2 linked regions of the Arabidopsis thaliana genome follow. The protein of the gene in region 1 interacts with the protein of each later gene in a pairwise test. Each region holds a gene or a part of one and is shown in the gene's direction. Other genes may lie near its edges.

The links.
Region 2: the proteins of AGL77 (region 1) and AGL99 interact in a two-hybrid assay, tested with the Arabidopsis thaliana proteins (one large-scale study listed by BioGRID).

Annotation. Positions count from the first base shown.
Region 1 is NC_003076.8:15,512,158-15,515,869, reverse strand, and holds AGL77 (AGAMOUS-like 77), read left to right. Parts: upstream 1-1,564; coding exon 1,565-2,845; 3' UTR 2,846-2,927; downstream 2,928-3,712. Other genes in the region: AT5G38730 (Tetratricopeptide repeat (TPR)-like superfamily protein), read right to left, coding at 3,179-3,712.
Region 2 is NC_003076.8:1,331,087-1,334,754, forward strand, and holds AGL99 (AGAMOUS-like 99), read left to right. Parts: upstream 1-1,672; 5' UTR 1,673-1,738; coding exon 1,739-2,707; 3' UTR 2,708-2,836; downstream 2,837-3,668. Other genes in the region: CYP77A9 (cytochrome P450, family 77, subfamily A, polypeptide 9), read left to right, coding at 1-1,021.

The DNA of each region.
Region 1 (3,712 bases):
TTCTTGTTCTCAGGCAAAACGATCTGTAAAAAATAGAAAAGTAAACCAAAAGAATCAGACCAAGAACCAAACCGGAAACACAGTGATGCAGAACAAAATCTATACCAGATACAGAGCATCACAACACCACTTGATCTTTGATTCCCATTCACAAAATCTAAACCTAATACAGATATCCCAATCTCGCGATCGTTTACAAAACCAAATCAAACGAATCACAAAACTATCGTAGATGGTATTGAGGAGGAAATAACAAAATTGATCGAGACAAATCAAACCCCAAAAGATTAACACACCGATGGAACAAATTAAGTAACATAAACAAAGAACGAGAGGTGTTGTAACAGTAATCGAATCAACTAATCAAGTAACAGAGAAACACAATTCATAAACAGATCATCGGAATTGAGAATTCATAATCATCGGAATTGCCTCAAAGAAACCCTAAATTCGAGAGTTTGATAACTAACCAGATAATCGATATACCTAGACGAAGTGAGAGATCGTCATTTCTGGATCATGATCGTCGCCGACAATTCGTCGGTGAACCAAGCAAGATCGCCGGAGAAAAAAAAACTTCTCCAGACATTTTGCAAAAAAAATTAAAATTTAGGGATTTCTAAAAAGTGAGAGATATCATAGAGAGATTTGTAGAGGTTTTTCTTCTTCTTCAAACGGTCTAACTCCAATTTTTTCCGCTATATAGAAAAATTCAAAATTTGAAAAATCAAGATTCCAAGACTAAGACATGTTTCGAAAAAAAGAAATTGAAATTCCAGCTGTGACACGTCATGATTATCATGTGCAACAAGTTTGAGCTTAACCGGGATTTTAACATTTTGGTTTAGTGTGAAGGCCTGAATGTTTTTGGTTAAAGCCTAACCACTGTGATCTCATGAACATATTTAGATTCGTTTGGTTTTGGTTTTAAAATGTGACATTAATTCTAAGTCCAACCCAATTAGATCGAAGCAATTATATGTTATCTTCCCAACCCAAACTACGTATTTTCAACTATACAATGAAAATTAAAAGTGACCAAATTAGGCGACACAGAAACGAACAGGTCCAATATATAATAGTTTGGGCCGCTGTAAAAATATACACGTTTGGGCCAAGCCTAGTAAAAAAAAACAAAAATTTGGCCTCTTAACTACCGATTCCAAAATTGAAATGTAGCGTTTTGATTATTCTTCTTTAAATTGTCAGGTTCTACGAAAACCCTAACCAGAGAAGCTTGCCAGCGGCTGAAGAGTTCCGACGAAAGCAGAGGAAGAAAAATATATCGGTTAACCGACCGAACCGAAACACTGGGTAACCAAACATAATTTACAAACCTTCCGATCGGTTTTCCTTTCCTAACCGAAGCAAAGCCCGGAACCAAAAATTTCGGTTCGGAGCGGTTCGGAATTATCGGTTCGAGTTTGTCTCGCAGGCCTACAAAAAAAACTCTATAAATATATGACATATCTAAGGGTTTCCTTAACCTAATTCATTAGCTTTTTCTCTTCACTCTGAACGTGAAAACAAACACAGAGAGTTTGTCTTCAAAATCAACAAGAAGATGACGACCATTCGATCTTCACCTTCTTCCTCTCGTTGTTCCAATTCGTCTTCCTCTTCTTCTTATTCACTCGCTTCCACAAGTTTGTCTAACAGACTTGAGACTATATTCAAGAAAGCTTCAGAGCTTTGCACTCTCTGTGATATCGAAGCCTGCGTCATCTATTACGGACCAGACGGAGAACTTAAAACATGGCCTAAGGAGCGAGAGAAAGTGCGAGACATTGCTCTGAGGTTTAATCAATTAAACGAAGCCTTGAGACACAAGAAAAGCGTTAATCTTCATGGGTTCCTGAACAAGAAGAAGAAGAACAAGGGTTTGAAGAATCCGAACAAGAAGAAGAAGACGAGTCTTAAGAACGTGAATGTTTTAAAGTATCCACTCGCTGATCATTACTCTCCCGACCAAGTTTCTCAATTGACTCAGTCCTTAGAACTCAATGTCTCTAAATTCCAAGAAAGGCTTCGATTTCTTGAGTCGCAGAAACAGAATGAGACAAAACCGGATCATCAGAGTTTAACATCAATATCTTCTCTGAACCAATCTTTGAACCCTAGCCAGTTCTCGCTGTTTATGTATAACCATGGATATAATACTCTGTCTCAGATCCCAGTCTCTGCATCAAATTTCAATCAGGATTATATCTCAGCGTTACTTGAACAATCTGAGTTGAAGAGTCAGATAATGAAGCAGGAGGTTTGTGGTTATGAGCAGAACATGTGCATGAGTAACCATGGAGATGCTACGCTCTCTCAAATCCCATTCTCTGCATCAAATTTCAATCAAGATTTTTCAGCCAACAACAACTTCCAACATTCTTTTGTCTCAAACACACAAGATTACTACTCTGTTCAAAAATCTGTGAATAACAACTATGGGTTGAAGAATCAGTTAATGAAGCACGATCTTTGTGGTTATGAGCACAACATGTGCATGAGTAACCATGGAGATGCTACCTTCTCTCAAATCCCACTCTCTGCATCAAATTTCAATCAAGATTTTTCAGTCTCAATACAAGAAGAATCTGGCTTGATGCAGCAGGAGCTTTGTGGTTATGATCAGAATCAGAACATGAGCATGGGTGACATCACAAACAACAATTTTCAAGTTACTTGCGCCTCAGTACTAGAATCTGTGAACAACTTTGGGTTGAATCAGTTGATGCACAAGGAGTTTTATGGTTGTCATCAAAACATGTCTATGGGTAACATCAATAACAACAGCTTTCAACATCCTTGGGTCTCAAACGCAGACCATACTCGGCGGTACAAGAATCTGTGAACAACTTTGGGTTGAATCAGTTAATGCATGCAGCATGAACTTTACGGTTACGGTTATGCAGACTTTTGTTAATTTCTTATGATTAATTTGATGTGTTGTTGTTGTTGTTGAAATGTATTCAGATCTACAGCTTGTTTACGGTTATTAGTTGGATAGTATTTAGCAGTACATGCACTTTCACTTTCCATAAAGGTCATTATTGTATCATGATTGATGCAGAGGATATCTACACCAGTATTCTTTCACTCTATAGTAGCTAGAAACAACAAGTACTACGTAGCTTATTAGTGTCTTTTAAAGTACATATATATAAATGTGATATGTTGGCTCACTTCACAATACCTCGCTTCTGTTCATTTCCCGTAAAATACTCTTCGATATAAGACATCTATCACCTACATGACTCCAAAAGAATCTCAAAACATCGTTATCACCAGCGTAAGAGGCACTGATAGATTTATAAAGTTTCAAGTTTACCATTAACCGTCGATTATACATTACATCGAACAAAGCAGAAGCTTCAGTGACCTTCCCTGTTCGCCAATATGCATACGCCATGGTCGTGAATATAACACTATCTCCCACTAAACCCTTCTTTTCCATTGATTCAAATAACACTTTGGCGTAATCCACCTGTTCTAACTTACAAATCCTTCTTATTAATCCTCTGTATAGAGCAACATCAGCACAAAGACCTCTTTTTTCAAACTCCTCTAGGAGTTTTGTGATTTCGTCTTGCTTGTTCTGGTTATAGAATCCATCCACGAGCCAAGAATAGGTCGCATATCCAGGAGAGAAGCCTTTCTCTATCATAGAGAACAGTTCCTCCTTTGCATTTTCCAGTTCCAACACTTTACAAAACCCATG
Region 2 (3,668 bases), about 14 Mb from region 1:
ATCTGAAGCTAAGGAAAACGACGGGCTCGTCTGGGTTCTAAGAAACGCTAGATTCGCTGCTTTTTGTATCTTGTTAGATATGTGTTTCGGAGTTAAAATGGAAGAAGAATCGATTGAGAAGATGGATCAGATGATGACGGAGATTTTAACCGCCGTTGATCCACGAATTCACGACTATCTTCCGATTCTAACTCCGTTTTACTTCAAGGAGAGGAAAAATTCTCTGGAACTTCGCCGGAAACTTGTCCAATTCGTCGTTGGATTCATCGAGAAACGACGATTAGCGATTCGAAATCTCGGCTCCGATAAAACGGCGTCGTCTTTCGCGTATCTTGATACTTTATTCGATCTCAGAGTTGATGGTCGTGAAACGTCACCGTCAGATGAAGATCTCGTGACGCTGTGTTCAGAGTTTCTCAACGCCGGTACGGATACGACGGGGACGGCGATAGAGTGGGGAATCGCGGAGCTGATATCGAATCCGAAGATTCAATCTCGGCTGTACGATGAGATTAAATCAACGGTGGGAGATGATCGAACGGTTGAGGAGAAAGATTTGAATAAAATGGTCTTTTTACAAGCTTTTGTTAAGGAGCTTCTCCGGAGACATCCACCGACGTATTTCACGTTAACTCACGGCGTTACGGAGCCGACTAATCTCGCGGGTTACGATATTCCCGTCGGGGCTAATGTTGAGTTTTATCTTCCCGGTATAAGTGAAGACCCGAAGATATGGTCTAAACCGGAGAAATTTGATCCGGACCGGTTTATAACAGGTGGAGAAGACGCCGATTTAACCGGAGTCGCCGGAGTTAAAATGATGCCGTTCGGAATTGGCCGTCGGATTTGTCCGGGGCTTGGAATGGCGGTCGTACACGTGGAGCTAATGCTGTCGAGGATGGTTCAAGAGTTTGAGTGGAGCTCGTACCCGCCGGAGAGCCAAGTGGATTTCACCGGCAAATTGGTGTTCGCGGTGGTGATGAAGAATCCGTTGAGAGCGAGGGTTAAAGCTAGGGTTTAAGTTTCGTTGATTCCACGTCTTTGATTCTTTTAACTTGACCAAACCCGGTTCAAGAGAGAAAATTCGCATTTTGTCTAATTTGCTTTGGTTTAATTAAATGTTTTCCTACTCTTCAATTACTAAATAGAGCCATGCATATTCGATTTACGTTTGTTTTAGTTGGTTTGCATTATTGCATGTCTTCAAATTAAGCTAGTATAAACTAATAATTTAGATGGTTTGACTAAACCAAATAACTGTTTATTACTGAACCAAATTTTCGATTAAATCACTCTTTCAGAAAAGGAAATTTCTTTGACAAAGGAAAAGGAAACATATACTTATTGGATTAATTAGTGATTAGTAGATTATCACGAAAAGGAAATAGAATCGATGGTTTAACTGAACCAGCCATGGTTAGTTTCAGGTGCTTTTCGAGTTAAGTTTTCAAAAAAGGAAATCGATTGTACTTAGTTTGGTTCGTCTCAGGCGGTTTAAGAGTCATTACTTTCAAAAAAGGAAAATAATTATACTTAGTTCGTTTAATCACTGATTAGCTAATTGTCAGAAAAAGGAAATATAGTCGATTGATTAGAAACGAGTAACAACACAGAGTCTATATATACACGATTAGAAACAGAGAGTAGCCATATCATATTCTTTCGCAACAGGCTAACACAAAAATCTCTCTGTCTTTTTCTCCTTCTCTTTCTTTGTCTGTGAAATCGTGAACACAGAATGGGGGGCGTGAAGAGAAAGATTTCTATAGAGCTGATAGAGAAGAAAGATTCAAGAGCTGTTGCTTTCTCAAAACGCAGTAGGGGTCTATATAGCAAAGCCTCTGATCTTTGTCTTCTCTCCGATGCACAAATTGCGATCATAGCCACTCCGGTCTCTTCCAAATCAAACGTTTCTTTCTACACCTTTGGCCATTCCTCTGTTGATAACGTTGTAGCCGCTTTCCTCACGAATCAGCGTCCTCGGGAAGGTCTAGGGTTAGACTATTGGTGGGAAGATGAGAGGCTTTCAAAATCAGAGGACCTGGAGGAACTGAGAGACGCAATGGACTCGATGTCGAAGATGTTGAAAGATCTGAAGGATTTGCAGAATCAACGAGATTGTGAGGAGGACGTGAAGAAGAAGGGTGTTTTACACGGAACTCATCAAAAGCAAACCTTTAATCCTGAATCATGTTCTGTGAATTTCGATGGGTTTAACAAGAACACTGAAGAATTTGATCTTGATGAAATATTTGATTATGTGTCAACAGCTGAAGCTCTATCGATGAACTTGGACATGGACGATGTCTCTGTGGTGACCACGAATCAAAACCCCGTCTCTGCTTCTGAAACTGTTGAAGATAGAGAATTGGTTGTTCACAAAAATATGGATGAGGACAATATCCACGTGTCTGATATGGACGACAAGGATACGATGCTAATGATTTCTGACAAGAACAATGTTTTACCTGAAAACTTGGATGAATTCGATCAAGAGCTAGATCTTGATCAGCTACTTGATTTTGAGACAAACTATGAAAGCCTTTTGAAGAGTTGTGAGATGGAGGATTATGCCTCGATGGTGACTACAAAGCAAAATCTGTGCTCAAATCCTGAAGCTGTTGAAGATGGAGGATTAATGATTCAAAAAGATTTACCGGAGGATAATCTCTGCTTTTCTGATTATTTCAGTGACTTACATTGCTGATATTTGAAACTCCCTCCAAGATAACAGATGTTTCAAGGATTGCTTCGGTTTATTTTCGTTAGAGATACTTTACTCAAGGAAGGTTCCGGTTTGACTTCAATCAATTTTCCATGCTTCATTGGATTTCTGGGATGTTGATCTAACTCAAACCGGTTCAGTTTTGGTTTGCCTTAACTAATGAAGAAACCATCCTTTTTTCTTTTAAGTTTTGTAGTCTTTTCTATCAACTTGTCTTGTTTTATATGTGTGATGTTTTCTTCTTATATTAAAAGTTTAAAACCAATGAGTCTTACTACTCTTTTTTTCTTGTATCAACTTGTGTCTTGTTTAACTGTGGGATGTTTTCTAATCTAACCAACAAATAATATTAAAACCAATATTGAGTCTTACAACAGAAAACATCTGTCTGACAATCTTTGATTAGGAATGTCTCTGCTTTCTTATTAAGTACCAAAACCAGTCATCATCTAGGCCAGTATTTTGTGATTACTTCATAACTTGAAAACAGATAAAGCTTTACCAAAATAGAGCAGAATGGCTCCATAACAAATTGCAGAAGAACCGGTGCTAATTGATTCCATTCAAAACGTGATGCAGAGAAGTGTTTATATGGCGGGGAAAGTTTGGGAAAAAACACCTTGTAATTGGTTCAAATGCAATGTAGGGGGAGCTTGGGTGTTAAGAAATGAGTTGGGTGGTTTTACTTCACAGTCGCCGGGCGATATTTAGTATAAGAAGTGTAGAGGATGCAAAGCTAAGAGTTTTGCTTTGGTCTATTGAAAGCATGTCAAGTCACAAAGTCATGAGAGTTTTTTTTTGCTTGCCAAGAAAAAGGATTGGTAGAAGCAGTTAATAGGCCGCAGGCTTGGCCCCTCTTTTAAAGCTCAATCTTTTGCTTTAAAGAGTTTTTTGTTTAGTTCCAGGTGTGGAAGATGATGGTTTTGGAAACTTTTGGTGCAAA